4 linked regions of the Struthio camelus genome follow. The protein of the gene in region 2 interacts with the protein of the main gene of each other region in a biochemical or structural test. Links are inferred from orthologs where the notes say so. Each region holds a gene or a part of one and is shown on either strand. Other genes may lie near its edges. The genes, in order: UBE2S, ANAPC11, UBE2C and PTTG1.

Evidence for each region.
Region 1: the proteins of ANAPC11 (region 2) and UBE2S form a complex in vitro, tested with the Homo sapiens proteins (31 studies listed by BioGRID). The link is inferred for Struthio camelus from reciprocal best matches to the Homo sapiens genes ANAPC11 and UBE2S.
Region 3: the proteins of ANAPC11 (region 2) and UBE2C form a complex in vitro, tested with the Homo sapiens proteins (66 studies listed by BioGRID). The link is inferred for Struthio camelus from reciprocal best matches to the Homo sapiens genes ANAPC11 and UBE2C.
Region 4: of the proteins of ANAPC11 (region 2) and PTTG1, one has a biochemical effect on the other in vitro, tested with the Homo sapiens proteins (3 studies listed by BioGRID). The link is inferred for Struthio camelus from reciprocal best matches to the Homo sapiens genes ANAPC11 and PTTG1.

The regions. Positions count from the first base shown.
Region 1 is NW_027182594.1:68,573-76,471, reverse strand, and holds the start of UBE2S (ubiquitin-conjugating enzyme E2 S), read left to right. Parts: upstream 1-4,847; 5' UTR 4,848-5,054; coding exon 5,055-5,057; intron 5,058-5,451; coding exon 5,452-5,472; intron 5,473-6,816; coding exon 6,817-6,964; intron 6,965-7,192; coding exon 7,193-7,383; intron 7,384-7,899. UniProt on the Homo sapiens protein: Accepts ubiquitin from the E1 complex and catalyzes its covalent attachment to other proteins. Catalyzes 'Lys-11'-linked polyubiquitination.
Region 2 is NC_090960.1:404,513-410,811, forward strand, and holds ANAPC11 (anaphase-promoting complex subunit 11), read right to left. Parts: upstream 1,362-6,299; 5' UTR 1,322-1,361; coding exon 1,213-1,321; intron 955-1,212; coding exon 809-954; 3' UTR 804-808; exon of another isoform or gene 717-803; intron 687-716; 3' UTR 549-686; downstream 1-548. Other genes in the region: NPB (neuropeptide B), read right to left, coding at 1-198; ALYREF (THO complex subunit 4), read left to right, coding at 1,550-1,780, 2,048-2,179, 4,688-4,835, 4,939-5,002, 5,181-5,361. UniProt on the Homo sapiens protein: Together with the cullin protein ANAPC2, constitutes the catalytic component of the anaphase promoting complex/cyclosome (APC/C), a cell cycle-regulated E3 ubiquitin ligase that controls progression through mitosis and the G1 phase of the cell cycle.
Region 3 is NC_090959.1:19,299,353-19,305,705, reverse strand, and holds UBE2C (ubiquitin-conjugating enzyme E2 C), read right to left. Parts: upstream 2,175-6,353; 5' UTR 1,897-2,174; coding exon 1,796-1,896; intron 1,723-1,795; coding exon 1,695-1,722; intron 1,623-1,694; coding exon 1,536-1,622; intron 1,352-1,535; coding exon 1,147-1,351; intron 1,014-1,146; coding exon 954-1,013; intron 790-953; coding exon 731-789; 3' UTR 553-730; downstream 1-552. Other genes in the region: regulator of G-protein signaling 9-binding protein-like, read left to right, coding at 1-293; DNTTIP1 (deoxynucleotidyltransferase terminal-interacting protein 1), read right to left, coding at 2,559-2,706, 2,843-2,898, 3,348-3,419, 3,820-3,880, 4,077-4,135, 4,611-4,656, 5,006-5,067, 5,295-5,351 and 1 more. UniProt on the Homo sapiens protein: Accepts ubiquitin from the E1 complex and catalyzes its covalent attachment to other proteins. In vitro catalyzes 'Lys-11'- and 'Lys-48'-linked polyubiquitination.
Region 4 is NC_090954.1:14,386,918-14,395,076, reverse strand, and holds the start of PTTG1 (securin), read right to left. Parts: upstream 3,064-8,159; 5' UTR 2,845-3,063; intron 2,737-2,844; 5' UTR 2,674-2,736; intron 2,161-2,673; 5' UTR 2,140-2,160; coding exon 2,058-2,139; intron 1,758-2,057; coding exon 1,579-1,757; intron 1,182-1,578; coding exon 1,088-1,181; intron 213-1,087; coding exon 63-212; intron 1-62. Other genes in the region: pre-mRNA-splicing factor SLU7, read left to right, coding at 3,415-3,578, 4,200-4,353, 4,651-4,731, 5,293-5,457, 7,017-7,082. UniProt on the Homo sapiens protein: Regulatory protein, which plays a central role in chromosome stability, in the p53/TP53 pathway, and DNA repair. Probably acts by blocking the action of key proteins.

The sequences.
Region 1 (7,899 bases), on a different chromosome or scaffold from region 2:
CGACACGGCACCGTGCAACATGGCACCGTGCAACATGGCACCGTGCAACATGGCTCAGTGCAACACGGCACCGCGGGACACGGCACCGCGTGACACGGCTCAGTGCAACACGGCACCACGCGACACGGCACCGTGCAACAGGGCACCGTGCGACACGGCACCACGCGACATGGCACCACGCGACACGGCACCGCGCAACACGGCACCGCGTGACACGGCACCGTGCAACATGGCACCGTGCAACACGGCACCGTGCGACATGGCTCAGTGCAACATGGCACCACGCGACATGGCTCAGTGCAACACGGCACCGTGCAACATGGCACCGTGCAACATGGCACCATGCAACATGGCTCAGTGCAACACGGCACCGTGCGACATGGCACCGTGCAACATGGCACCACGCGACATGGCTCAGTGCAACACGGCACCGTGCGACACGGCACCGTGCAACATGGCACCCACGCGACATGGCTCAGTGCAACACGGCACCGTGCAACATGGCACCGCGCGACATGGCACCGCGCGACATGGCTCAGTGCAACACGGCACCGTGCGACACGGCACCGTGCAACATGGCACCACGCGACATGGCTCAGTGCAACACGGCACCGTGCAACATGGCACCGCGCGACATGGCACCACGCGACATGGCTCAGTGCAACACGGCACCCGCGCGACACGGCACCGCGGGACATGGCTCAGTGCAACACGGCACCGTGCAACATGGCACCGCGCGACATGGCACCGCGCGACATGGCTCAGTGCAACACGGCACCGTGCAACATGGCACCGCGCGACATGGCACTGTGCAACACAGCATCGTGCAACACGGCACCGCGTGGTGCGACACCGCTTGGTGCAACACGGCACCGCGCGACACGGCTCAGGACTGTGCACCACGGCGCTGCACAGCACCGCACGGCGCAACACAGGACTGTGCGACACGGCAGGGTGCGACACGGCTGGGCACCGTGCAACACGGCACCGCACGGCACCGCACGGCACGACACGGCGCGGCTCGGTGCGGCGCAACGCGGCGCGGTGCAGCACGACACGGCTCGGCACGGCACAACACGGCTCGACACGGCACAACACGGCTCGGCACGGCGCGGTGCAGCACGACACGGCGCGGTGCAGCACGACACGGCTCGACACGGCACAACACGGCTCGGCACGGCGCGGTGCAGCACGACACGGCTCGACACGGCACAACACGGCTTGACATGGCACAACACGGCTCGGCACGGCGCGGTGCAGCACGACACGGCTCGACACGGCACAACACGGCTCGACACGGCACAACACGGCTCGGCACGGCGCGGTGCAGCACGACACGGCTCGGCACGGCACAACACGGCACAACACGGCTCGGCACGGCACAACACGGCTTGACATGGTTCGGTGCAGCACGACACGGCTTGGTGCAGCACGACACGGCTCGACACGGCACAACACGGCTCGACACGGCACAACACGGCTCGGCACGGCGCGGTGCAGCTCTGGACTCGGCCAGCTAATGACATCACAGCCCGGGGCTCGGCGGCTGATGATGTCATAGCACCCAGCTCGGCAGCTGGTGACGTCACAGCCCGGGGCTCGGCGGCTGATGATGTCATAGCATCCAGCTCGGCAGCTGGTGACGTCACAGCCCGGGGCTCGGCGAATGACGGTGTCACCTCTGCCCTGGGCGGCTGATGACGTCGCAGCCTGGGGTTCAGCAGCTGATGACGTCACAGCACTCAGCTCTGCAGCGCACGACGTCACAGCCTGGGGCTGACGGTGTCACCTCTGCACTCGGTGGCCAGCGGTGTCACAGCCTCGGGCTCAGCGGCTGATGACATCACAGCCTCGGGCTCGGCGGGTGATGACGTCACAGCCTGGTGCTCGGTGGCCGACGACGTCGCGGCCGCGGGCTTGGCGGTGATGACGTCAGCCTCGGCCTCTGCGGCTGGTGACGTCACAGCCCCGGAGGCGGCAGCAGCTGGCGCCGTCGCCCTGTTCGACTCGCCGCCCGACGACGTCACAGCGTCGGACTCGCCGTCCCGTGATGTCACAGCGTCGGACCTGCCGTCCGATGATGTCACAGCAGCCCGCGGCCTTCCCCCGGGCTCGCGATGATGTCAGAGGCGCCCGGGGCGCCCGGCGCCTCCCCCGGCCTTCGCCGCTTCTCGATGATGTCAAGCCCGCGGGGGCCGCGACTCCCGATGATGTCAGCACTGCGGACTCCCGTCGCCCCCCGATGACGTCACGGTCGGGGCGGCGCCGTCGCCGACCGATGACGCCCGGCGCGGCCGCGGGCGTTGCTGACGTCGGTGACGTCACAGCCGCGGGGGTTCCCCTCCCCCCGGTGATGATGTCACAGGGCGGAGGCGCCCGCCTCACCATGATGTCACTGCCAAGACTCCGCCTCCCGTGGGGGTGGGCGGAGCCCTTTTTGATGATGTCACCTCTCTTCGCTGATGTCACCGGAGAGAGCACACCCCTTTTTAACTCCCCCTTTCCCAGTGATGTCACAGCCTCCTCCCCCGTGACATCACAGCCGTGCTTCGATGATGTCATCGCCGGCGTTCGGGGGGCCCCTCCCCTTGTACATATCTGTCCCAGTGAGTTTGTCAGGTCTCAGCCCCCCCCCCCGGCCGAACCAAGGGCTACCCCCCCCCGGGGGCCCCGGCACACGCGTGTGCACACGTGTCCCACGCGGGAGCAGCCACGGGGCGCTCGCACACGCGTGTGCCCCCCCCGTGACCTCCGGGGCCGCCCCGTCCCCACCGAATCGAAGCCATAGAAAAGGGGGGGCCCCAAAAGCGGAGCCGTCGCCGGGGGGGGGCTGCGTGTGCCGCGGGCGCACACGCGTGCCGGCGCATGTCCGTGGCATTGCACACGCATGGGGGGGGTGTCACATGTTCCCCCCCCCGGCGCCCCACGTGTCCCTCCCTGGGGCCCATGTGCCTTAGCGTCCCCCCCCCCCGGACAGGGGGGACACGACGGGGCCCGGGCGGGGGCGGCAGCACACGCGTGTGCGTGTTCTCCCCCCCCGCGACACGTGTTTGCACGCGGCGGGGGGACGTGACACGTGTGCACACGCGTGTCCCTCTCGCGCACACGCGTGTGGAGCCCCCCCCCCCCCAGCTCGAGGGTGTTTTTAAGCCCGATTTTAAGCAAAAAACCTGGTGGCCTGATGGGGGGGGGCCGGGGCGCCCCGAGGGCGGGAGGGATTTTGGGGAATAAACAGACGTTTCCTGGCCGGGGACTCGGCTGGATTCAGATTGGGGGGGGGCCGTGGGGGGTGGTTTGGGGGGGCCCAGTTTCGGGGGTCCCTGGGACTGGGGGGGCTGGTTTGGGGGGGTCCCAGATTGGGGAGGGTCCCATGGGGGCTGGTTTGGGGGTCCCAGTTTGGGGGGTCCCATAAGGGGGGGTGGTTTGGGGGTCCCAGTTTGGGGTGTCCCAGTTTGAGGGGGCTGGTTTGGGGGGGTCCCAATTTGGGGGGGTCCCATGGGGAGGTGGTTTAGGGGGGTCCCAGTTTGGGGGTCCCATGGGACTGGGGGGCCTGGCTTGGGGGGTCCCAGTTTGGGGGGGTCTCATGGGAGGGGCTGATTGGGGGGGTCCCATATTGGGGGGGTCCCATAGGGGGGTGGTTTGGGGGTCCCAGTTTGGGGGGGTCCCATAAGGGGGGGTGGTTTGGGGGCCCCAGTTTGGGGTGTCCCAGTTTGAGGGGGCTGGTTTGGGGGGGTCCCAATTTGGGGGGGTCCCATGGGGAGGTGGTTTAGGGGGGTCCCAGTTTGGGGGTCCCATGGGACTGGGGGGGCTGGTTTGGGGGGGTCCCAGTTTGGGGGTCCCATGGGACTGGGGGGGGTTGGCTTGGGGGGTCCCAGTTTGGGGGGGTCTCATGGGAGGGGCTGATTGGGGGGGTCCTAGATTGGGGGGGTCCCATGAGGGGGGGCTGGTTTAGCAGTCCCAGTTTGGGGGTCCCATGGGACTGGGGGGGCTGGTTTGGGGGGGTCCCAGTTTGGGGGTCCCATGGGACTGGGGGGGGCTGGCTTGGGGGGTCCCAGTTTGGGGGGGGTCTCATGGGAGGGGCTGATTGGGGGGGGTCCCAGATTGGGGGGGGGTCCCATGAGGGGGGGGCTGGTTTAGCGGTCCCAGTTTGGGGGTCCCATGGGACTGGGGGGGCTGGTTTGGGGGGTCCCAGTTTGGGGGTCCCAGATTGGGGGGGGGTCCCAGATTGAGGGGGGTCCCATGGGGCTGCGGTGCGTTGGGGGAGGACATCCCCCCCCCGGACGAAGCTTTCCCATGAGCCCCCGCGACAGCCCTTATTTACATACATTAATAGGAATGAGGCCGTTCCTCACGCCTTCCTCGCTGATTGGCTGCACCGGCTGCCGCTCAGTGACGCAACCGCCCCCTCCCGCCAGCGGAGGAAGTCCCGCCCCGCCGGTCAAGCCCTTCCCTCCCTCCCGCCTCCCCTCCCACCGCCCCGCGCGGCCTCTCCCGCCTCCCATTGGCGGAGCCGCCTGCCAATCGGCCGTTTCAAACGCTCCCGCCCCGCCCCTGCCCGCCGACCGTTACGGCGTCAACAACCGCCGCTTCCCGCCCCGCCCCTTCCGCCTCGCGACGTTCGTATTCCGAACCCACCAATCAGCGCCCAGCGCCCGCCCCTCCTCCCTCTTCTCCCATTGGCCCGCGCCCGCCCTTGACACCGGTAGCCCAGCTCCACCCCCAACCGCGGCGAAGGGGCGGGACCGAGCGGCCGCGCTCCGCCGGCGCTGATTGGCGCGGGGTGCGGGAGGGGGCGGGTCCGGCGGGGCCAAGAGGCTATAAAGGGCGGCGCAGAGCACGCGCCGCGCTCAGTGCGACGGGTGGGCGGCGGCGGCCGGAGCGGCGGGAGCGGGCGGCGGCGGCGGCGCCGCGGATCGGCGGGCACCTGCCGCTCTCCGGTGGGGAGAGGGGGGCCCTGCTGCGGACCCTGCCTCTCCCCACCCCCCCGGCCACCCGGCGAGGCCCCCCCGGGGCAGGGGGGGGGGCCCTGAGCGGCCTCCACCGGGCCTAGCGCCATGGTGAGTGCTCCCCGGACGCCTGGGCCCCTTGCGTGCACTTTTTTTTTTGGGGGGGGGGGGACACTTTGAGCTGGGCAGGGTTTGGGGGCAAGAGGGGCACCACCCCCCCCCAACTGCCTCCCCCTTCCCCCCCAGGCCTGTTTCCCCTCAAGCTGACTGGGGGAGGGGGGGGGGACATGGCCCCTTCTCCCCCCCCCCCAAACGTGGGTCTGTCGGGCCCAGCCAGGAGGGGGCTGAAACCAGCCCCGAGAGGGGCAACAGCCTGAAACTTGCTACCTTTGGGCCTGTTTAATTTGAGGGGGGGGGTTAAATGCAGCCCCAGGGGGTGTCCCCCCCCCCCCACGAGCTGTGGTGCAGCAATGGGTCGTTTCATCCCTTTTTCCTTCCCTTGCAGGAGGCTCGAGGTGCCTGGCAGGTGAGTGTGAAACCGGAGCGGCTTTAGGGTCTGGCACCCCCCCCCCCACTCACCCCAATTCTGCCCCCCCCCCCCCAGCAGGTGCCCCAGGGACTGGTCTGGGGGAGCCCTCGGCCGCGGGGCAGCGCCAAACCTCCAGGCGCCGCCGTCCCGCTGCGGGACGGGAAAGTTTGAGCGCGCCGAGTTGCTCCCTTGGGCCGGACGAGGGAAAATAGCGGCTTTTTTTTTTTTGGGGGGGGGAAATAAATAAATAAAAAGGGGGGGGTCGCATGAGGCTCCTCCGCAGGTGGGGAGCGGCCAAACCTCCGTCGCTTCCCCCTTTTCCGGCTGGTCTGGGGGGGTCCGAAGCCCTCCCCGGTCGGGGCCTGCTCTCGCTCCCGGTTTGGCAGGCCGGGGCCGGGGGGAAGGAGGTGCCGGAAGCGACCTGCCCTCGCGCGAGGCCTTCGCTCCTGACAAACATATTTGCTCCCGCCGCCAAGTAAAAGCACGTCCGTCCGTCCCCCCCCCACCGCCACCTCCGTCCCCCCCCCCCGCCGCCGCCGTCCCCTCCAACCCGCTGCGCAGCGGGTCGGGCGAAAAGGCGTCCAAACGCAGGGCGAGAGCGGCCGAGCGGCCGCCTAGGCCTCGGGGAGAGTCCGCTAAATCAACAATAAGTCCGGGAAAAGGGGCCGCGGCGGCTGCGCTGGGGGCTGCGGGGAGGGGGGGGCTCGCTACCAGCTGGTGGGGGGGGGGGGGGAGACGATTTGGCAGCACGGTGGGGGGATAAGTTGGCGTCGCTGCCCGAATCGTCTTTCGGCAGCTCCTTCCCTGCGCGTCTTCGGGGGGTGCTGAGGGCCGGGTGGCTCTTGGGGGCCTCGGGGCGGAAAGCGGAGGTGGGGGGGGGGGGGATGTTTTTGGCCTTCGGGGAGACCGGCTCCGTTCTCGGCGCTCCTGGTCTCTTCCCCGGCGCGCCGAGGCCTTGTTGGCCTTCTCGGACGTTTCGTCTCGAATCCGGGGCCGTTTCTAGGTGTTTTGGGGGGGGGGGGGGGCTGCTAACGATGCCCCCGGCAGCACCCGCTGCCCAAACTTTTGCCGGCCGGGGCTGGCGCATGGGACGCGCTCGGAGATTCGTTCCCTAGGCGGCTGCCTCCCCCCCCCCCCCCCCCCCCCAAAAAAAAATACCCCGCGTCCGGAGGGGTGGAGCACGAGGCGGCCGAAGAGCCTCTGGGATTTCTGGCGTGGAGCGAGTTGGCCAGTCTCAGCTCGGGAGGCAGCTTGGCCCTGGGGGTCCCTCCGACTTTTGCAGAGATCGGTCCGTGCCGGGGGGGTCTCTGACGCCTCTTCCCCCCCCCCCCCCCTTCCCAGAACTCCAACGTGGAGAACCTGCCGCCCCACATCCTGCGGCTGGTCTACAAGGAGGTGTCGATGCTGACGTCCGACCCGCCCGACGGCATCAAGCTCTTCCCCAACGAGGAGGACATCACCGACGTGCAGGTCACCATCGAAGGCCCCGGTGAGACGGGGAGGGGGGAGGCCCGGGGTTCCCCCCCCCCTTCCCCCCAGCGTGGGGCTGGCGGGGGTCCCTGTCCCCACAGCAACCTCTGTCCTGGGGACAGTGTCCCCCCCCGCCATGCGGACGGGACCCCCCCCCCCGACCAAGCCGAGCGGGAGGGGAGCGCACGGCGCGGGGGGCTCCGGACCGGCTCTCACCCCCTTTCCCCTCTCTCCCCCCCCCCCCCAGAAGGCACCCCCTACGCGGGGGGCGTTTTCCGCATGAAGCTGGTGCTGGGCAAGGAGTTCCCGGCGGCTCCCCCCAAGGGCTATTTCCTCACCAAGATCTTCCACCCCAACGTGGGCCCCAGCGGCGAGATCTGCGTCAACGTCCTCAAGCGCGACTGGAAGGCCGAGCTGGGCATCCGGCACGTGCTGCTGGTGAGCGGGGGGCCCGCCGCGGCTGGGGGGGGACGCGCACACACTGGTGGGGGGGGAAAGAGTGGGGGGGGGGGGCTGCCCCACGTGGTCAGGCTGGGCCCTGGGGTGCCCCACTGAGCCCAGGGAGCTGGGGCACCCTGCCAACCCCCCCCCCCCAAGGGTGCCCTGCCCTGGGCCTTGCATCCCCCCCAGCTGCCCCCACCTGGGGTTGGGGGACATGGGGGTGATGTTAGGGGAGTCCCGGGGCAAATGCGGACTTGGGGGTGACATTAGGGGTGTCCTGGGGCAGACTGGGAGATTTGGGGGTGACATTGGGGGTGTCCCGGGGCAGACTGGGGGACATGGGAGTGACGTTAGGGGTGTCCTGGGGCAGACTGGGAGGTTTGGGGGTGACAGGGATGTCCTGGGGCAGACTGGGGGACTTGGGGGTGACATTAGGGATGTCCTGGGGCAAACTGGGGGAACTGGGGTGATATTAGGGGTGTCCTGGGGCAGACTGGGAGGTTTGGGGGTGAC
Region 2 (6,299 bases):
GGGGCCGTGCTCGGCAGCACCGTTGGGGTCGGAGCGGTGGATGTAGGGCGAGTGGCGGATGCCGGAGAGCAGCCCCGAGGCTCTGCCCACCAAGTAGTAGCTGGGTCCGGCCGCCTGCTTGTACCAAGGCGCAGCGGGGCGGCACAGCAGGGCCAGGGCCAGGGCCAGGGCCAGCCCCAGCCAGCGGACAGCGTGCATGGTGCCAGCAGGACTGCAGCAGCTCCAGGGCTGCTGCTGCTGCCTTTATAGGCAGGTTGGGGGGGGGGTGACATGCCACCTCCTCTGCGCCTCCCCCGCCGCAGCCGAGCAGCCCGCCTCCCCGGGGTGGCATTGCCCGCGGGGAAGGAGCTGCTCGACCTGGCCCCGCTCATTAGTGGCCCCGCTCGCTGGGGCGTCCTGGCACCTGCCCCAGGCAGGGCTCCCGCCCGCCGACACGGCTGGGCTGCGCTTTGCCGGGGGGAGGCTCGGAGCGCGTCCAGCCCGTGGGGAGCCGGGTCCGCCCGGGGGTCCCAGGCTGGCGCAGGCTGCACCCCGCGTCCCCTGCCTGCCCCGCCGTGGGGGCCGGCGGCTCTGCCCGCGGTCTGAGCCCCTCCAGAGCCCAGCGGCGCCAGGGACGCTGGAACAAGCAGATCACAGCAGCGAGTTTACGGGCAGCAGCGCAGGTAGGGAAGTCGCAGCTTGGGGCCCGGCCGTCACCGCAGCGCCACGCAGCGGGGCGGCAGCCGCCCCAGGGCCGAGCCCCGGCCCCGAGCCCCGGCCCCGAGCCCCAGGGCGGCTCTGCCGGCGGCGGCCGGGCCCGGGCGCGGCGTCACTCGCGGAACTTCCACTCCTGGCGGCACATGGGGCAGTGCTGCTGCACCTGCTGCGAGTGGAGCCACTTGAGGATGCAGTGCATGTGGAAGCAGTGCGAGCACTGACCCCACACCAGCGGGCAGTCGTCGCCGGGCACCTTGCCTAGGACAGACACCGCGGCGCGTCACGGCGCGTCCCGTCATGCCGCGACATGCCACGCCACGTCACGACATGCAACGTCACGTCACGGCATGCCACGTCACGTTACACCGCAACATATCACATCACACCCCGGCGAGGCACGTCACGGCGCGGCGCGACACGCCACGCCACGTCACGCCTCGACACGCCACGCCACGTCACGCCTCGACACGCCACGCCACGGCATGTCACGTCACGTCGCGGCGCGGCGGTACTCACAGTCGGGGCAGCAGCCGTTGAAGGCCATGCGGCAGATGCCGCAGTTCTCGTCGTTGGCCACCCAGAGCCAGGAGGCGACGCCGTTCCAGCCGCGGATCTTCACCCGCATCGCCGCCCGCCTCGCCTCGCCCCGCCCCGCCCCGCCGGAAGTCCCGCCCCTCCCCGCCGGAAGTCCCGCCCCCTGCCCGGCCGCATCGCCGGAGCCGCCGCCGCCCCATAAGGCCCCGCGCGGCAGCGCGCGCGGCTTGCCGCGCCTTCGCCGCCAGCCCCGCCCCCTCCGCTTCCGGCGTGGGCGCAGCGCGGCCGGAAGTGCAGGCCCCGGAGCGGAGCCGCCATCATGGCCGACAAGATGGACATGTCCCTGGACGATATCATTAAGCTCAACCGGAGCCAGCGGGGCGCCGGCCGGGGCGGTCGGGGCGGCCGGGGCCGGGGAGGCGCCACCCGCGGCGGCGGGCCCGGCCGGGGCGCTGTGGGAGCCGGGCGAGCGGGCGGCGGCGGCCCCGTGCGGAACCGGCCGGTGATGGCCCGGGGCGGCGGCAGGAACCGGCCCGCGCCCTACAGCCGGGTACGGAGCGGGGCGGGGCGGCGGCGGCGGCGCAGCCGCGCGCGGGGCCGGGGCCGGGGGCGGCGGGCCGGGCGGGGGGCTGGGCCGGGGCAGCGGCGGCGGCGGGCCGGGCCGGGCCGGGCCGGGCGGGGGGCGGCAGTGGCGGGGGGCGGCGGCGGCGGCGGGCTGCCCGGCGGCCCTTTGTTCGCGCCGGCGGCCCCGGGGCGCGTGGCGGGCGGCGGGAGCCCCGGCCCGGCCCCGGTCAGCGAGGTGGCGGTCTCGTTGCAGCCGAAGCAGCTGCCCGAGAAGTGGCAGCACGACCTGTTCGACAGCGGCTTCGGGGCGGGCGCCGGCGTGGAGACCGGCGGGAAGCTCCTCGTCTCCAATCTCGACTTCGGCGTCTCGGACGCGGACATCCAGGTGAGCGGCGCCGGCGGCCCCGTCGTGCGCGCGGCCGGCATTGGCGGGGGGATTCATTCATAGCATCTGCTTCGGGCGCTTCCTGGGGATGCTGTAGCTCTTGAGGTCCCGCTGCTTTCTGTGGCCCAGAGGGGAGATCTCCAAATCCTTTAACTCTAGGTTTGTGGTTGTATTTGTGCCATGAGTATTTCTTGTGCAGTTGTTCTGAGGATGTGAAGGTAACTGCAATTCAAAGAAGCTGCTGGCCTCTTCTGATCTGCGGCTATTAGCATTAGCAAGAATGTTTGTGTGGGAAAATATACTGGTGTTTGCCTGAATCCATCTGTGGCTTGAGAACTTTGTATAAACTATGTAAACACAAGTTGCATTTCCCTGTGAATTCAGTAACTATACTATACGTACATCAATTTGCTTTGTTTTTATGGGACTTGTTTACATAGTTTCTTTGTTCTAAAGCCACGTTCTATTAAGCGTGAAAGTATTCCTATGTCAGCATCGATCAGTGAAATTAAGAAGGCTTATTTGTCGGGGGGGACATTCCCCCTTACGTTGTGATATCTATAATTACCTTGTATTTCTTACAGTAGTTCAATTTTCTAGCTGAGTTGCCATGTCGTAGTTTCAGCTCTGCTTTGGTTAAAAATCTTCCAGATGCTTTAAGTCAGGTATATGGTGTGATTTGTCTTTATGGCTGAATTGATCAGAACGGAGATTGAAATTGGTGGACCCACCTAGCTATAAGGGTGCTGTAATGTATGGGCAGTAAACTGTACAGCCACAAACGTTTGCAAATGTAAGGTGCATCCCCACTAGGGGGCTGTGCTAGTTAGGTTACACTGCAAAACACTTCACTTTAAGTTGGCTTTTGGTCCCTGTGCCTCCTGCCAGAAAATAAACGCTTTTTCATCTGTTAGTTCGTTTCAGCTACCTTGTAAGTTAAGCTGGCTACGTCTGGAGAATTGAGAGCGAGTGTTTTTTTCAGGTCACCGAGTTGACGTTTGTTTGGGTAATGCACTTAAGGCCACTTCTTTTTTCCTATTTAAAGTTAGCTTTGGTTGAAATAAGTTCCTTGTTTACTGTAGTCAGGCCCTCATGTATAAAACGTGAGTCTGTGAAGTTGCTTCAGTTCAACTAGTTTTTGTAGGGGTGTGTGTGTGTGTGTGGCAGATGGGTATGTCTTTCTCGCTGTTGTTTTGGACTATAGGTGCTGATGAAGTTCCACGTGTGTTTTATTTAGCAGCAAAGCTGACTTAACAGGCTTGTACCTATTTGTTACTACTGCCTCATAATTTAGCACTTCCTGTGCTGGCTAGTTTCCTTGTTTTTATGCTAATCGGGTCATTAATGAGGTACAAGGTAGCCCGGGAGTTGTATTGCCAGGAATGGGTGACTGGAAGGAACCTAAAACAAGCTCTTGGAGAAGACATATATAGTGTCATACCCCGACCCACCACTGCTGCTCATGGAGAACCAGGGTTTTCTGTAGCACAGTGAGAGAGGCTGTTCCTTAAGACGTTGTTGAGCAGCTCTTTGTGTGTGCTGCTCCGTATTCCAGATGGCTTGTACAGAGTGTTGTGTTAACGTGCACGTCAGTTAAATGAATACAAGGTAGAAGCTGGCCTGCAATCTTGCCTGGAGTGCTGTTTGCTTAGGAAGTAAAAGAATATCTGTGTTGCTCTTTTCAAATACTGGAAATATTGGAATAATGTTCAGGCGTTGCAGCGGATAACATGAAAGGTGGCAGGCAGTCTCCCTTTGGACATCCGACAATTCTGGTGTAGATTTTGAGCTTTCGAGGCACTAGCTATAATAGAAACTTACAAAGCTATGAGATGTCCCTAGTTGATTTACCAAAAGTAGCACCCGCGCAAAACAAAATTTGTGGCTCTCTTGCTGCCTCTGCTCGTTTCCACCCTTCAAGACAGTGAGTAACAAGAGGGCATACTTCAGTAGAGGACTCCTCCTAAGCTCAGTTTTTGGGATATGTTCTTAAGCTCCAAGATGACAGGATTGGTTTTTTTAAACTGTAACTGGTCTAGCAAAGATTTTATAAGAGAAGTCCAGCACATAGAAACTATGATCACCTTGTGAATCACTGCATTCATAGAAATAAAGATCATTCTTCCTCTGTGAAATGGTTTAGGGTCTGGATTATTTTTGAATAGCAGCCCTGTACATGTAGTCTCGGCACAAAGATGTGCAGCTTCCCTGGCAGAAGCGGCAGGTCAACACCCCTTGACCCTGCTCCACTGGCTGTATGCACACACCCAAGTATGCAAGTAGTGTCTTACTTGCTTTTGCTGTGTGTAGCCGCTTCCTGAAGTTCTTCTGTTGGGCTTATGTTTGCTCTTTCAGAGATTCTTCTTCTGAGTTGTCAGTGACGTTCTGAAAAGCACCTGTACTTGCTGAAAGTTGGTGTATCTAGGAAACGGCCAGTGCTTTGTCTTGGCCGTTCTGCCTTAGCAGCATGGATTGAAGCGTGCTCACTCTTCTCCCTCTGTTTCTCAGGAACTCTTTGCAGAGTTTGGGACCTTGAAGAAGGCAGCAGTGCACTATGACAGATCTGGCCGCAGTCTAGGGACAGCAGATGTGCATTTTGAAAGAAAGGCAGATGCTCTGAAAGCTATGAAGCAGTACAATGGAGTCCCCTTGGATGGTGAGTCTACTTGGCTGTTTCTGTGGTGTTTTTCACTTGACAACTGGAGGAGTCCAGGTCCCTATATCCCCCTGCATGGACTTACTGGCTTCTTTTCTTCTAGGGCGCCCCATGAACATTCAGCTGGTTACGTCACAGATAGACACACAGAGGAGACCAGCACAGAGGTGAGATGCTGTACTTCCACATGAGTTGCTGTGCCTGGTCAGCATGGGGATAGCCTCCCAATTTGCATAGCCTCCCTCTGTATAGGAAGCATGGATCCATCTTCCATTCTACAAACTTCTGAGTGGCTGTCTGGGTTAACGAGAATGCACTGTAACGGTTGCTTTTTAAAAATCACAGTGTAAACAGAGGTGGCATGACCAGAAACCGTGGTGGTACAGGAGGATTTGGTGGTGGAGGTGGCAACAGGCGAGGTAGTCGTGGTGGGAGCAGAGGGAGAGGCAGAGGAGCTGGAAGAACTTCCAAACAGCAACTCTCTGCAGAAGAACTAGATGCACAGCTGGATGCTTACAATGCCAGGGTAAGTGCTGCTCGTACTTGCAGAACGGTGCACCCTGCTGGATCTGGTGCTGGGAAACATTGACGGCCCAGGGCTGGCAGGAAAGGGATCACTTCTCGGATCATTGGACTGAATAGTCTCCCTCTAAAGCTGAGCAATGCCTTGTTCCTGCAGTTAATTTAACTTTCCAAAACACTTTATCTACAGCTTTTCCTTGCCCATCGTTGAGAAATAGCCACTTTTCCAGCTTCCCCAGACTGTCTAGGGCCCATGTAGGCTGGACCCTTTTATAGCTGAAATAGCAATGTATGAACAATAGCTGCATAACAAAATAACAGAGATAATAGGCTGGAAAAAATGAAAAACAAAAGTAAAAAACATATGTGAGATAATGACATTTGATGCTAACAGAGAAGAGATTAGTGATGCTGTTCATGGTATACAAGTCCATAAAGTGCAGAGCTGAATGAAGAGCACTTCATTCCCAACTGGCTCAGATGTCTTTGTGCCACAGCAAGGTTAATTTGTTGACAGGGAATCAAGGTTAAGTGCGTGTGTATTGTAATCTGAATCTTGCTGGTCTCTGTAGGCATGGGATAAAATTGAGGCAGCAGTATGACAGAAGCCAGAAAAATTGACATGGAACTGTGCTGTGCTTTAGAGCAGTCTTCTCTGGAATTAGTGATAAATAAATAGCAATGTTGGGGAAAAAAAAAAACAAAACACTTGGAGGAACAGGAAGTGTGGTGTAGGGGGCCCATAGTCTTATCTAAGCATGTCAAAGTGCTGTAGTTTAGCTCTGATCAAAAAGTATGGCCTAGCAAGCATTTTGGTGCTTTAAACAAATTTGAATTTTAATCTGTGCATCTCTATCCAGTAAAGCCAGCGAGTTACAGTAGTTTGCTTGAGCTGGGCTGTCTCTAGAATAGAAAGTCAAGGGATATTTTGCTCAAGACATG
Region 3 (6,353 bases), on a different chromosome or scaffold from region 2:
GGCTGGGCGGCCGGCCCGAGGGCCCGTGCCGCGGCGGGGGGCGGCCCGGCCGCCAGGGCAGCCACAGCCCCGAGCGGCCCCCGGCCGCCCCACGGCCCGAGGAGGAGATCGAGCAGATGAGGGCCATGCTGGCGGAGATGGAGAGCAGAGCCAACATCCCGCTGTGGACGGTGGAGGCCACGCAGCGGGGCCGGGCTGCGGGCAGCGCGGCTACCCGGGCCGGGGCGGCTCGGGGGCAGAGGCAGGCTGCGGGGCCGCGGCCGGGCACTGGGCACTGCTGCGCGGTCCTGTGATGCGCCCCGGGCGGGCGAGAGAGTGGCAGGGCTGGGACCCCCGTCCCGCAGCCTGGGGCGGCGCGGCCGCCGCGGAGCCGGCGATGCCCCGGGCACCGCGGAGGGTTATTAAAGACCCCGTCAGCCCTCGAGGTTTGTTGTCCCTCCTGATTCCCGCACGGGCAGAGGGGCCTGGGCCACGGCGCCCGTGGGAAGGGGCCACCAGGCATGCGCAGGGACAAGATGCCAGGCTGCAGCTTAACCCTCCGGGCCCCCAGCACAGAGTTATAAACGTGCATTTATTTATACATTAACCGTGGCTCGGACTGCAGAATTAATTTAAAAACAGCCTATGATACAGAAAGCCGCGGAGAGCGGCAGGACAGAGACAGAGCAGGAGAGCAGAGACCCAAGAACGAGAGACAGACACTGCCGGCGGGAAGGGGGGGAGCGCGGGGTCAAGTTTCCTGGCTCTTCGCCTGCTTGGCATACGTTTCCCGCAAATACTTCTTGAAGGCTGCGAGGAGAGGGAGAGGATGGTGCTGAGGGGCCCGGGAGAGCGGCCGGGCAGCCCCGCAACAGGAGCGCAGCGCGGCGCCGGGCAGCACCCGCGCAGCGGGGTCCGGGGCTGCGCGGCGCCTGGCCGCGGCAGGAGCGGGGATCCCGCCCCGGGACACTCACCAGCTTGGTTCTTCCAGAGCTCGGCCGCGTGCGTGTTCAGGGGGCTCTCGATGTTGGGCTCTGCGGACAGGGCACGGGGTCGGCGGTGGCCCCGACCCCAGCGGCCCGCCGTGCCCCGCCGCCGGCGGGCGCAGCTCTCGCCCAGCCCGGCCCCCCCCGGCAGCACAGCCCCGAACCCCGCGCCGGGCCCCACCTGCCAGCAGGCTCTGGATGGAGAGCAGGATGGTGCGGACGTCGTACAGGGCCGACCACTTGTCCTTGAGGATGTCGAGGCAGATGTTGCCCTGGGTGTCGACGTTGGGGTGGTAGCAGGGCGTGACGAAGCGCACGGTGGGCGCGTTGTAGGGGTACCCGCTGGGGAACTCCAGCGACAGCTTGTACCGCAGGTCCTCGTAGGCCTGGGGGCAGGAGTCAGGGAGGGGGCCGGCCGGGGTGGGGGGTCGGGGCCGCCCCGTCGGGGGTGGGGGGGGGCAGGCAGGGCCCGGGGGGGCCGGGGCCGCCCCTGTCGGGGGTGGGGGGGGGCAGGCAGGGCCCGGGGGGGGCCGGACCGCCCCGGCCCCGCGGGTGCCCCGGGCCGCTCACCGTGCCGGCCGCGCCGTCGATGGTCCCGATCCACTTGAAGAGGTTGTCGGACTCGGGGAAGGCGGAAATGCCCTTGTCACCGGACATCTGCGGGGACAGCGCCGTCAGGGGGGCTCGGAGCCAGCGGACCCCCCCCCGACCCCGGCGCGCCCCACTCACCATCAGCGACATCAGCTCCTGCTGCAGCCTGCGGGGGAAGCTCGTGTTACCGGGGCGGCCGCGCTCCCCCGAGCCGCCCCGGCCGCCCGGCGCCGCCTCACCTCTTGCCCACGGAGCCGCGGGCGGCCGTGGCCCCCGCCTCGGCCCCTTTGCGGGCGGCCGCGCTCGGCACGGCGGCGGGGTCCGCGTTCTGCGAGGCCATCGCGGCTCCCGCTCCGCCTCCTGCTCTTGGGCTCCGGCCGCGGCTGCTCGCGCCCTGCTGCGCCCGGCGCTGCCCCCGGCTCCGCTCCGCTCCCGGCCCGCTGCCCCTGGCCCGGCTCCGCTCGGCCCGCTGCCCCCGGCTTCGCTTCGCTCCGCCCCGGGCCCGGCTGCTCCCGGCCCGGCCCGGCTCGGCCTGGCCCGCTGTCCCCGCTCCGCTCCGGGCCCCGCTGTCCCCGCTCCGCTCCGCTGCCGGCCCCGCCGTCCCCGCTCCGCCGTCCCCGCTCGCCCCCGCCGCTCCCGCGCCCCCGTTTGAATGTTTCAAACCCGCGGCCCCTCCGCCAATCGGCGGCGCGCTCCCTTCGAGCCGACCAATCACCGCTCGCAAGGGATGCGGCTGCCTTGGAAACAGCGGCCGGCCGCCGATTGGTCGCACGGCGACGCCACACACGCTCCCCTATTGGCGGCTCACCCGTGACGTGACCTCCCAGCCCGGGGTGGGGGGGGGGGGTCCAGGCGGACCCCTTAAAGGGCCAGCACCCCCCCCCCCCAACCCCCCTACCCCTCGGGAAGGAGGCAGCGGAGGCGGGTGCGAAGCAGCTTTATTGCGAGGGCCGGTGCCGGGGTGGCGCCGGGCGGCGGCGGGGCCACTGGGCAGGGCAGGCCTCAGGGCTCGGGGGGCCCCTCCGGCGGCGGCGGCGGTAGCGGGTCCCCTCCGTTGCGAAGCGTCTCCATGTACTTCTGCATCTTCTCCGTCATCCAGGCCGGTGGGATGAAGGGCTTCAGCTCCTCCAGCTTCAGGTCAACGGAGTCCCTGCGGAGGGCAGAGGCCAGCGCTGAGCGGGGACCCCTGCGGCTCTTGCACGGGCAGGGTAGCCCCTGGTTCTGAGCCATTTTCACTAAAGGGGAGAAGGTTGCAGCACAAAAGACTTCTGGGCTTCTAGCCTCACCTGTAATCCTCACTGGCAGCCAAATCCCGAATATCCTCTTCAATGAGGAGATAAGCCTGCAGCACAAGGGGCAAAACGCTTCAGGTTTCCCATGCGAGAGCTTTGGACGCACCATGCTTCTGCTCAGAAATGAGATGTCTGCCTGGCACAGTGATGGAAGCTCATAACCCCCTTCCCGCTGGCCCTGTTAAACCCCACCAGCCTGCAGACCTGCTCCTACGAGGAGCTTTTGGTACCTCCTGGTTCTGCCCTACTCTCTCATATGTGCCCAAATCCCAGAGGAGCAGCAAAACACAATCTCCTTGGCTGAGGTGCCCCAAGCACCCAGAAACAACTGCCTCACCGAGCTCTGCCTGGCCTCCTGCACAAACTCACCTTCCCCACAACACACTGTTTTCGCTGCACGTGCCCTGGTTTACTGCTCACCTGCCCATTTCAATCCTGAATTGGGATTCTGTACAGTTCTCTCTCAGGCTGCGGCAGGCGCAAGCCTGAACGTACTCACCATCTTGCCCCCAGTGGCCCTCATGTGCTGCTGCTCTGCCAGCCAGTGCTTATCTTGCGGATCGGCTGCATACTGCAATAAAGCAGCAAGGACCTAGCTGAACACAGGCAACAGACCTTTTGCTCTGACCACCCCTGTATTTGGGCACTGAACCCCATTCTAGTGCTCCACTGCAATTGCACGACCCCCCAAATGCTGCCGATCTGTATCTTCAGGGAGGGAACGCTCAGCTCTGCCTGCTTTTACTTCAGAGTAAAACCCTGGCTCCAGGCAAAAACACCACTTCAGAGGCTGCACTAGGCTGTTAGCTTATGTTTCAGTGTGCTAGCCAGACTCTAGATGTTCTAAGACAACAAACAAGGGTGTGGGAGAGGAAGACAACAAGTGAGCCAAAGCATACATTCCTGATTCCCATCACAAACTGTTTCTGAGCAAACCCCAAAGGAGGAAGCATCCTGCTGTGGTATCTGACCTTAAAGAGGTGGGGATGTTTGATGTAGAGTCGCCCTCTTGTTCCTCCCATCCCGAGAGCTCTGAAACAGGAACACGAGGCGGGTGTTAAACCGGTGCAGAAGGGGCACTGAGCGGTACAGGGACACTTACTCTCCTCTCCTCTCCTCCCCAAGCCCGTGCCCTTCCTACTGCTTCCAAGGCAGAGAGGTGATGGGAGGAGTCTTAAGGGCTCCTGCCTGGGAGACACCACCCTCCATCAACAGGGCCATTCCTTACTTGTTTGCTCGAGATCCCAGCACAAAGGTTGTGGTTTCAGTCAGTCGGGATGGATCCCACTACAGAGCAATTGGAAAAGGGGCAACATTAGAAATGAAGCTGGTGCCAACCAATGCTCCATGAGCCTCAGATCTCTGATGGGGGCCTCAGAACCGCCCCCTGAGCTGGGAGGGAGGCAGCTAGCCACAAACCTCTGGATTTCCACAGAGGAGGGAAATTATGTCACCCTGGGCTGCTCTAAGCAGTTTCCTCGGCACATAACACTCGTGGGATCCTCCTGGCTACTACTGCTTGCCCTAAGTCTCCTGAAAAGCTGGTACCACACCACAGAACTATAGGCTACAGTGACTGGAGGAGACGAGCATAGGCTTCCAGGCACTTCACTCCTCTTCTTGCTTCTTTCTTTGCAACACAGAGGCCCATCAGGGCAGAGCACAGCTTAGAACTGTCCTCCGGTCCCACAGCAGGTGGGGCTCTGCTGACGGAAGCAAAGAGGAGGAGAGGGTGAGCCCAGCAGTGTTGGCCAACCGATACCTTTGGTCCATCCCTTCTCACGGGCTCAGAGACTTTGAGCTTCCACCTGAGGGGAAGGAAAATGAAATAAGAACGGATCCCAGAGGCACCAACTCACAGAACACCGCAAGCACCTAGCAGCAGGGAGCTGAGCTCCACCCCCTCCCAGCTCCATTTGCATTCACACCTTCTATTTCTCTCCAGTGCCCAGCTCTGGATCCTCATCCGTGCTGCACATTCTCTTCTCCCCAGCTGCCAACATCCCACCTCTACCTGTGTCATATACTGCTCACCCTGAATAGTCCATCTGGACCCTTCTGCCCCTTTGGGCCTTGCTTTCCAGAGGGTCTTCTACACTCCCTGCTTCATTCCCCACCCTCTCCAAGCGCAGGCTCTAAGTCAGAACCCATACTCACGCAGCCATGCCCGAGACCCCACGATCATTTGCCAGGCTCTGTCCTGGAGGCCGACCCTTTCTCTGCAAGAAAGATATCCTTGAGCTACTCATTTGTGTAGGCTGAGGGTACTCTTTCGGTTATCCTCTGCTGGGAAAATTGCTCTTTTTACCACGAGCAAAGTGCTGGCTAGCCCTAGAGTAAGGACCTCTAAGGCATTACAAAAGCTGCATCTGCATGCACTTATTTTCTGGGAAGGATGAGGAAGAGGCTTCCCATAACATAAAAGCATTTTTGTGGAAAACCCTACCTTTTTGGGAACAGGGCTTCCTCGCCGATTCAACTCCTCATCCATCTGTCTGGCACGCTGGCAAAGGAACGGCAGGAAGTGAACAGCAGCCCTTCTCCCTGTCTAGTCAGAACCCCCACCCACCCTGTCAGCTACTCTCTTATCTGCCGCACTTGGGGCACAGAGCACAAGTGCACAGGGAACGCTGAAGCCAACCCATCTCGGTATGAAGCACGTAGTTGCAATAAGCAACAGCGCATGGGACTTTTGTTGCTCTGTACCCCCTCCCTCCTAGCCCAACATCTCCCAGTTCTACCCCCTCATTAGAGCAACTGATGGACAACCAGATATCAGGGAGAGATCTATCCTGCAGCTTTTAAAGGACAACACTGTACCCCCCACTTACATATTGATTCTGTAATTCAACAGATAAGGAACAGGCAGAAAACAAAGCAACTCAAAACCCTCCTCTTATTTCTTCCAGCTCTTAAAGTCATTTAAGACTACAGGAACAATAACAACTTTTACCTTTGGTACCGCCTGCTCATGGGGCAACCTTGGGATCACCTTTTTGCCATCAGAGAAAAGCAGCTTGGCCTGTAAGAAGAGAAAGGATTATCTGATTCTGGGTCCAGAGAGGGACTGCCAGCTACCCCTGCCTTTCCCTATGAAAGGGGCTCATGTGTGCAAAGACACTCGCGCTGGAGAGAGAGCCCCAGGCCAGGTAAACTTTAAAGGCCATAGCTAATGACTCAGATGCCCAGTAGACCACAAGGGCTGGTCACTGCAGACCCCAGAGATTCAAGTGTATCTGGCCAGAAGCCCTATATCAGCTCTGGTTGCAGAGTGATTCTAAAGCGCAGTGCTGTTCACAGACAGTGAGATGCAAGAGCACGATCAAGTCAGGATGACCGGCACAAAAGTAAGATCTGAAAGAAGAAGATCACAGTCTTGTTGGAGGAACCTTCAACGGGTACCAGGGAACTAGAGTCACTGTGAAAGCTCCCTGCTGTCAGCTGTGTGCAACAAGCATGGACAGAGCATCAGTGGGAAGCAGCAGTTCATTGAGAGCTACCCAAC
Region 4 (8,159 bases), on a different chromosome or scaffold from region 2:
TTCCCTCCCAAACCACTAATAAGCACTTGCATACACTGAGCTTCATGCACATCTCCACTTACCATGCTCCCATGACATTTGGGGGAGCTTCACAGGAGAAGGAGCCATGTTTACAAGTCTGTCAGAGGTACTTTCAAATATCATGAGGGGAACACCACTCAGTGTCAGATGGCTTAGTCGGTGCTCTTCAGGTACATCAAAACTCTCAAAGTCTGTTCACAGAAAACACTGTAGTTTACTAGCAGTGTACACCAACACTTACAGTAGCCTTGGAAGCAACAAGTCCTCCTAAGTTTAATTAGGACCAGGTCCAAAGCACCTCAATTTAATAGTCCATTTATGGGGTGCTTATTTGCAGTTACAATCAACTGTCCATAAAAGCCCATATACTAATATTTAATCAAGAGACAAGTAGACTGCAAAACAAAACTGCTAATATGACCCAGGAGCCATTAGTATGGTGACTGAAAAGCAGTTCAAGTCAACTACATCAAGCAACACATGTTTCAACAACACTGAAGTCTCCAGTATAACAGCTTTTATATACTTCCACATAAACTATTTCTAGAAACTAGAGGTTTGAGGGCATATAGGATTAAAAAAGCACTGCAAGTTGTTTGCATAGATTCTAAGAACAGCTTTAGAGATTTTAGATTTCTACTATACAACTACAGGAGTAGGATTCCTACTTCAGCAGGAGTCTCTCCAGTTACATATTGCCATCTGAAGTATACACTTAGGAAAAGTCTACACTTCAGCACTGCTTAAGACCTTCTGAGCGCTTGTCTTCTCGATGCCATTTAATAAGTTAAGAGACCATATCTTAGTATTTGAAACCAGCTTCCTGCCACCACAGTAGTGGCCTCAGAAGACTACGTGTCTTGAGTGCAGCTACTGCAGTTAGAAACATTCAAACAAGAATGAGGGGGTACTCCTAAGTAGTGAGCATCCTTATGTTTAAGGAAGGATGCCAGAAATGCAATGCCAGTTTGGTTGCCACAATAGCTTGGCCAAAGTCTTGAGACAAATCAAGATTCAAACAAGAGCCTGATTGTTCATTCTGATAACTCCATCAATAATTTCTTACCTAGAGGATCATAGGGAAACATATTTTCCATTTCTGGATAGGCTTCTTCAGCTACTGCATCACAGCTTTCTAATCCAGCAGTCTTTTCAGTAATCTTAAGGAAAGAGGCACATTATTCATCTGAGCTACTGTAATTCCTCCTTTTAGGACCTATAGTAGGGGCTTTTCTGTGATGTATAGATCTACAGACCAGAATGCCTGCAACATAGTCCTCAGTTATGCCTAAGTTCTAACACCTTCAGTGCAAATAAGCTGCAGAAGGGCAAATGCTTCAACTGAGTTAGTGTAATGATATACTATACACAGGGGCAACAGATCACCACACTAGAACATTTGGGTTCCCAGTATTAGCTCCTACTACTTAGGATGTCAGCAAAACAGGAAATCAGGCTATATCTTCTCCAGAGTCACTTCTCCGCCCTTGAATATTACTCAAGCTGTACCTACATAGATAAGTTGTGTTATTTTTCCTGCAGAAGTACTGCACTCACCTTCTTTGCAGTGCAAGGCTGATTCTTCTGTTTCAACTGCTCCTTCTTGCTTGTTGCTGCTAGAGTTCGGTTCACGTTTCCAAGCGCCTTTCTGACAGAGAGGGATGTGGCTGGAGATGTACTGATCTTTTTTTTTGGAAGTGGAGTATGGACTTGTGTTCTTTCAGATAAGACTTTTGCTGGGGGGGGGGGAAAAGTAAGTTTTGGCTCTATAACAAGCATAAAGTTTGCTTCACTATGTGCATATGTTGGAAAACTAGGTGTCATAAAAGCACTGTTCTCTGCTTATAACTTAAAAGCATAAGTGTTCTCTACCATGAAAGCACATAGTTATTTTCACTTTTATATTAACTGATATGCTAGATACAGGTATGCAGAATAAAACTGTACTAACATCCAAAACAGCAAACAGCAAATCCTTAATTTTGTGGTCTTTACTCCATCCTCTGATTAGTTTACTCAGTGCAGCATATACTCACAAGATGCTGAAGGCCGTCTTAACTGATTCTTAGTAGCACCAACTTCACCATTCTCTTTATCAATGAAAATTAGTGTTGCCATCTTCAAGCTGATGAGACCACTCTGGGAAGCCCATGAGTAGAAAGAAGTCAGTTTTTATTGTCTCTGCTACAATAGCACACTTTAACAAGCTACATTACAGTTGCCCCAGGCTGCTTCCTAGAGGAGCAGCCAAGACATACTTCTCTCCATTTGGGAATAATTTTCTTTATCAGTGCACACGATAGTCTCAAAATTCCCAGTGCAACTTGCATGAGTTCAGGGAAGCAGCAAGGTGTCACTGGTAATCCAGAGTACCTCCCTGCACAGCTAAGAAAAAGCTCACCAGATCTCACTTCCATTGCTTAGACAGACAGGCTATTCACCACTCAAGGAGGAAAAAAAGCCTCCAGAAAAAGCTGCCTTGAGGTAAAACTTGGAATTTAGAGCTTAAACACAAAGCCAAAGCAAAATTCACAGCCACAGACCTCAACGCCATCTTCTGGCCAGGCTCCAGGAGCCATCACCTGCTCACACCAAGAAGAGGCCTCAGATTTAGCCAAGCAAAACCTGCCTTCCCAGCCCAACAGCACTTACCTAGGGAGAGGCCCCCCTCAAGCGCTGCCAACAGACCTGTGCTACGGAGCAGAACAACAGCACCTACAGCAGAGAGAAAGTTGCGCGTTTCAGGCCATGCAAGGCCTCAGGAGGAGGGGGGGGGGGAAGCCGACCGCGGCGGCGGCGGCGGCCCACCACGACCCCTCTCACCTCTGAAGAGCGGCGCAACAGAGGGGTCCGTCCTGCCGGCGACTTTTAAACCCCCGCCGCACCTCCCATTGGCCCGTTAGACTAACGCTCAGGCTGCCGATTGGCTGCCGCTGGGCGCGCGCGGCGGGCAGGGCGGGCAGGGCGTGGCGCGGGCAGCCGCAGCGGCGGCGGCGGCGCGGCGTTGCTGTGGTGACTGCCTGGCCCCGCCCCAGCAGGCGCGAGTTCCGTTGGGGGCGGGGCCTGAGGCGGGGCGCGGGGCATTGTGGGGCGCGGCGGTGTGGCGGTGTGGCGCAGCGGAGCCGGTAAACAAGGGAGGCGGAGGCTGGCGGGGCGGTCAGGGCCGCTCGGGCTGCTCGAGTCGGGGCTGCCGCACCGAGCTCCCCGTGGCAGGTCGGGGGCGGAGGGGTCACCGTGCTGGGCAGGCTCCTTTCTCTGCGGGCGGCCGCTTTGGGCCTGGGGAGGTTCCCGGGCCCTCGCAGGGCGGTGGGCCCCGGCCCGGCCCCGGCGAGGTGCTGCTCGGTGCGCCTGGATGAACACATTTACTGATCTTTTGTTACAGAGAGAGATATAATGGCGTCTGGGACAGTAATTAACGCGACTCCTTCGGGAGGATCAAGTGATGTTAGCCTGGAGGAACCAAAGAAGATGACAAGGGAAGACTGGAGGAAAAAGAAGGAGTTGGAAGAACAGAGAAAACTGGGAAACGCGCCTGCGGAAGTGGATGAAGAAGGAAAGTAAGTTTTATTAAAGCTACGGTCATTCTAAAGTAATAGGGTTTAAAACTAGGTATTTTGCTTATTGCGATTACAAAATCGTGAGGGACAGCACAAAAGGTGAACGCGGAACTGAATTATTGTACTTCGTGAATTTACTTTTAACGTTCCAGCCTTCTTCAGATGTATAGATTTTTGTTTTTGCAAAAGAATAACGTATGTTCAGCGTTGGTCTGATCTGTTGGGATGCTGCTAAAAAGCCCTGCCCTGTGCAGATCTTTACAAGTGGTATTTTAAAAGAGAGCAAAAGGTAGTGCTGGGGAACTTAACTGTGCAGCTTATCAATTTCTTTCCTTCTCTCTGTGGTTTCTGCAAGGCTCTTCACCGTCTTATTGCACCTGTTATTGTCTGTGATGAGAAGGGATATTACTATTTTTGTTATAAGATAAGTCTTCTGTTATAAAGACAGAACATCAAAAAAAGTCTTTATTTATTATACAAACTTAGAAAGCATTGTAACAACTTGGGTGGTTATTTTACGATCAGCCCTAAAACGCTGAAGTTGAAGGTGAGAGTTATGCATTAGGTTAAGTTGCTATTCTTTTCCCCTGCCATGTATTTATTACGTGATATCTTTTACAGAGATATCAATCCTCACATTCCTCAGTACATATCTTCAGTGCCATGGTACATAGATCCTTCTAAAAGACCCACTCTAAAGCACCAGAGACCTCAGCCAGAGAAGCAGAAACAGTATAGCTCCTCTGGAGATTGGTACAAACGAGGAGTTCAAGAGGTATGCAAAATATTTTGGTTGTAAAGATAAGATTTGATTCTGTGAGAAAGGAAGAATAGAAACGTTGGTTCCTATAATCTTCTGTGTTTTCTGGTTACATGTTTTAAAGACGACAGGAGCCGGGAATTCTTCCTCAGCAGACGTTTCACAGTGTTTAGTGATAACTGAGATGTGTTATGGCTTTGTGGAGAGCATGAATACTTTGCTTGCATTGAAAAAATGAGGTAGTTATTAGGAATGCGTCTATGAATCTTGGTGGAAGCTTGTACAATGCTGTTTTTTGTTGTTTTTGTTTAGCATGCTGTAGCAACGAAATATCGTAAAGGAGCTTGTGAGAACTGTGGTGCATTGACACACAAAAAGAAAGACTGCATGGAGGTAAATTTGACCTTTGATGTTTTAATGTTTTTGAAAACAATGCAAATTCTTCTCTAGTGGAAAATAGCTGGTTATAAATAACAAGAACGTTACTAGTTTCTCAAATATTGAAGCGTTGCTTGAAAATTTCTAAAGTAACCTTTAGGTAGGGGGGAAAAAAAAACCATTCAGGATGTTGCCTATCAACTGTATATGAAAAGAGCTGCAATAATAGGTGAAAAGGTTTATCATTTAATTTTTTGCATTAATTCGTTTTTACTCAAGTGCTGCTGAGGCTAACCTTTTCGGTTGCATGTCAGTTAAGAACACTTTCCAGGAATTGTAATTTAATTCCTTTCTTAACTGTGGAAGATAGGGTTATGTGGGGCTGCAGTAAATTGATAGGTTTTAGACAGTTGCATTACTATAAAAATCTAGAAATGAACTACTTACTTTTACTTACGATTCGTTTCTAGTGCTGGATTAAATCAGCTTTAGAGCAGCTTAATTGATACCATATTTTTAAAGTGAATAATATACTTCAGTCTAATGAACTGATCCAACCATTTCTTTTTCTTTCAGAGACCCAGGAAAGTTGGAGCAAAATACACCGGCATGAACATTGCACCAGATGAACATGTGCAGCCTCAGCTGATGTTTGATTATGATGGAAAACGAGATCGTTGGAATGGTTATAACCCAGAAGAGCACATGAAGATTGTAGAGGAATATTCCAAAGTTGACTTGGTATGTAGGTGCTATAATTTACTGGGGAAAAATTCTGTGTTTGGCTGGGGATAAGGGGAGGCACGTGTGCTCTGTGCGCTCTGATACTAGATCTTGTGCTGTATTCATAATGAAAAACAGAGATGGAGTCTGTGTTTGATAACCAACTTAGACTGAGCTGGGAACTCAGATCAGAACTGGCAACTGAAAATGGGTCTGCACAATAAATGAGTTCTCTCTTCAAATTGTTTGTCTTTTACTAGGCCAGCCCTAGAATTCATTACCCAAAATGAAGATTGAATTACAGAAAGGAATTTATAGGCTGGCTATAATGATCAGAGCTAACATCTATATTCATTTCTTAAACTTCATTCGTGTTTTTGTTACTTGTGAGTCCCTTTTGTTACTATCATAGAGCAGTGGACTAACTGTAAATGTCTCTGTGCAGATCAGCACCTAACTGTTGCAGTAATTTTCTAGCTGTATGTACCAAATCCATGTGGATACTGTTAACTTCATATTAAAAAAGTAGTTCACCACCTTGGCTGGATGGTAGGCCTGTTCCAAAAGGCAGTTAGATACCTAAGTGCCTTTGTGGGCCTGATCTGAGGATTTGAGTTTTTCCCTATAGTGCACAGGAAAGCTAATGCTAGATGAAGGTATTCTGGATGTTAGTGATGTGATTTTTGTATATGTGTATTAATGTGTGATGAGAGAATATTAAGAAGACAGAGCCAGACTCTTCTCAGTGGCGTCCAGGGACAGGACAGGAGTCGCTGAGTTGAAACTGAAGGGCAAGAAATTCCATTTAAACATAAGAAAAAGCTTGCTTTCACTGTAAGAGTGATTGAACTTGAATGAGTTGCCCAGCGAGGTTGTGGAGTCTCCACCCTTGTTGATATTCAAAACCCAGCTGCACACGGTCCTGAGCAAACTGCTGTAGCCGACTCGGCTTTGAGCAGGGTGGTTGGACTAGAGGATCTCCAGAGGTCCTTTCCAGTCTCAGCCATTCTATGGTTCTGTGATGTCAAACATACAAAATTTCACTACGTGGCTGCTTCAGAGTCTCACTTTAGACTTCAGTATTTCCTGGATGAACCATAAATGCTTGCAGTATAAATCATGACCTACCTCAAGCATTGAAGTTCTTAACTAGATTCAGCATAAAAGGACACAATAATAAAATATGTTTGTTCTTAAACTCTATTGAAATGCTTTGAGCTTTTTCTTAATCTAAAAATTGATGGTTAGGGAGTATTTTTAGGAAGTACGTAGGGATAGTATAGCCGCGTAGTCTCTAATAAACTCTTTAACAGAATAATATGAAACAGCAAAATGGTTAGTATATACACATTTCCTTTCCTTGATCTGAAAAAATATAACATGGTAAATGTAAGAGTAGGGTAGGCAAGCTGGGCTGCTGTTTTTTGACAAGCACCCAGAGAATTCGCAGCCCACGTTTTGTAATAATTAATACTTGTTAAAACGATAGTGGTCGTAAGAGGTGCTTGTGATGAGTCTTATTACACACTTGGGATTGAAAGAAAGTATTAAAACAAGTGCATTTTAATGATATGCAGGCCAAACGTACGCTGAAAGCCCAGAAGCTTCAGGAGGAGTTAGCATCAGGAAAGCTGGAGCAAGTGGTAAGGAAACTAAACCCTAATTCATTTTTGTTTAGGCTGAATAAAGATAAAAAGGTCGCTTTTGCTCTCTGATGCTCTTACTCTGCAGACTGAGTTTCCTATTGCTTTCCGTGCCCTTCAGTAACATGACCTGCCTGAAGCATTGAAGTAATGCTTCAGTGCTTCGTAATGCATCCATACTCTGTGTTGTTTACGTGAATGCAAAATACCTTTTTTCAAATGAAAGTGCCTTTGTTTTTCCCCTCATAGGCAAGACTTTCCTGCTTCAGTTCTGGCAATTAGTATTTCTTGCTAAAATGAATGATATGGAATTGTGGGTCAGAAAAAAATAATTTCCCATGTAGTAATTTTGTTCACGCACTAAAATGAGAGTTTTAATGTAAAGATTGTTATGTCTGACTAATGTGGTTATGACCATTATGTGACTATGGGTTGCTTGATTAATGCTTCATATAAATAGGAATAGGAAGGCATTTTCTTTTCCTTAGAACCAAACTTGTATCTTCCTCAGTTATTGATTCACTCTTTGCAGTGTCTTTGGTTATTTGAAGGCTGAGGATATGCAAGCTTCTTGCTTGCAACTCCACAGAGTTTGCATCTTCCACTAACTTCTGCAAGCTCCTCTTGGATTATCTAGTCAAGGCTTCTGATAATCTTTAATATAAAATTCTAATTTAAGAGGTATTTGTGATAATTTTCTAGGTTTATAAAACGAGGGGGAGTAGAGATCATTACTGGTGAGAAGTATTTTGAGGGGTTTTCTTAATCAAAATATTATACTGTAAGAAAAAACACACTAACCAATAGAGTACGTACAATTGGGCCTCCATTTTCCATATGTTGTCACCTTGCATTTTGTCACTAGATGGCAGAGTAAACTTAATCTCCAACCAACACAAAATACATAGTAAGCCTGAACTTCTTTCCAGGTGGATAAGGTTCTTATTCTTTTTGCCACCATAGAGCAAGATTTTTAGCCTCCGTATATTTATTCCTTACAAAATAGAACTGGTAGAAGAAAAGTATATTTGAAACATAAAGAACCATTTCTGATAAACAGAGAAGCAAGACTGGTGC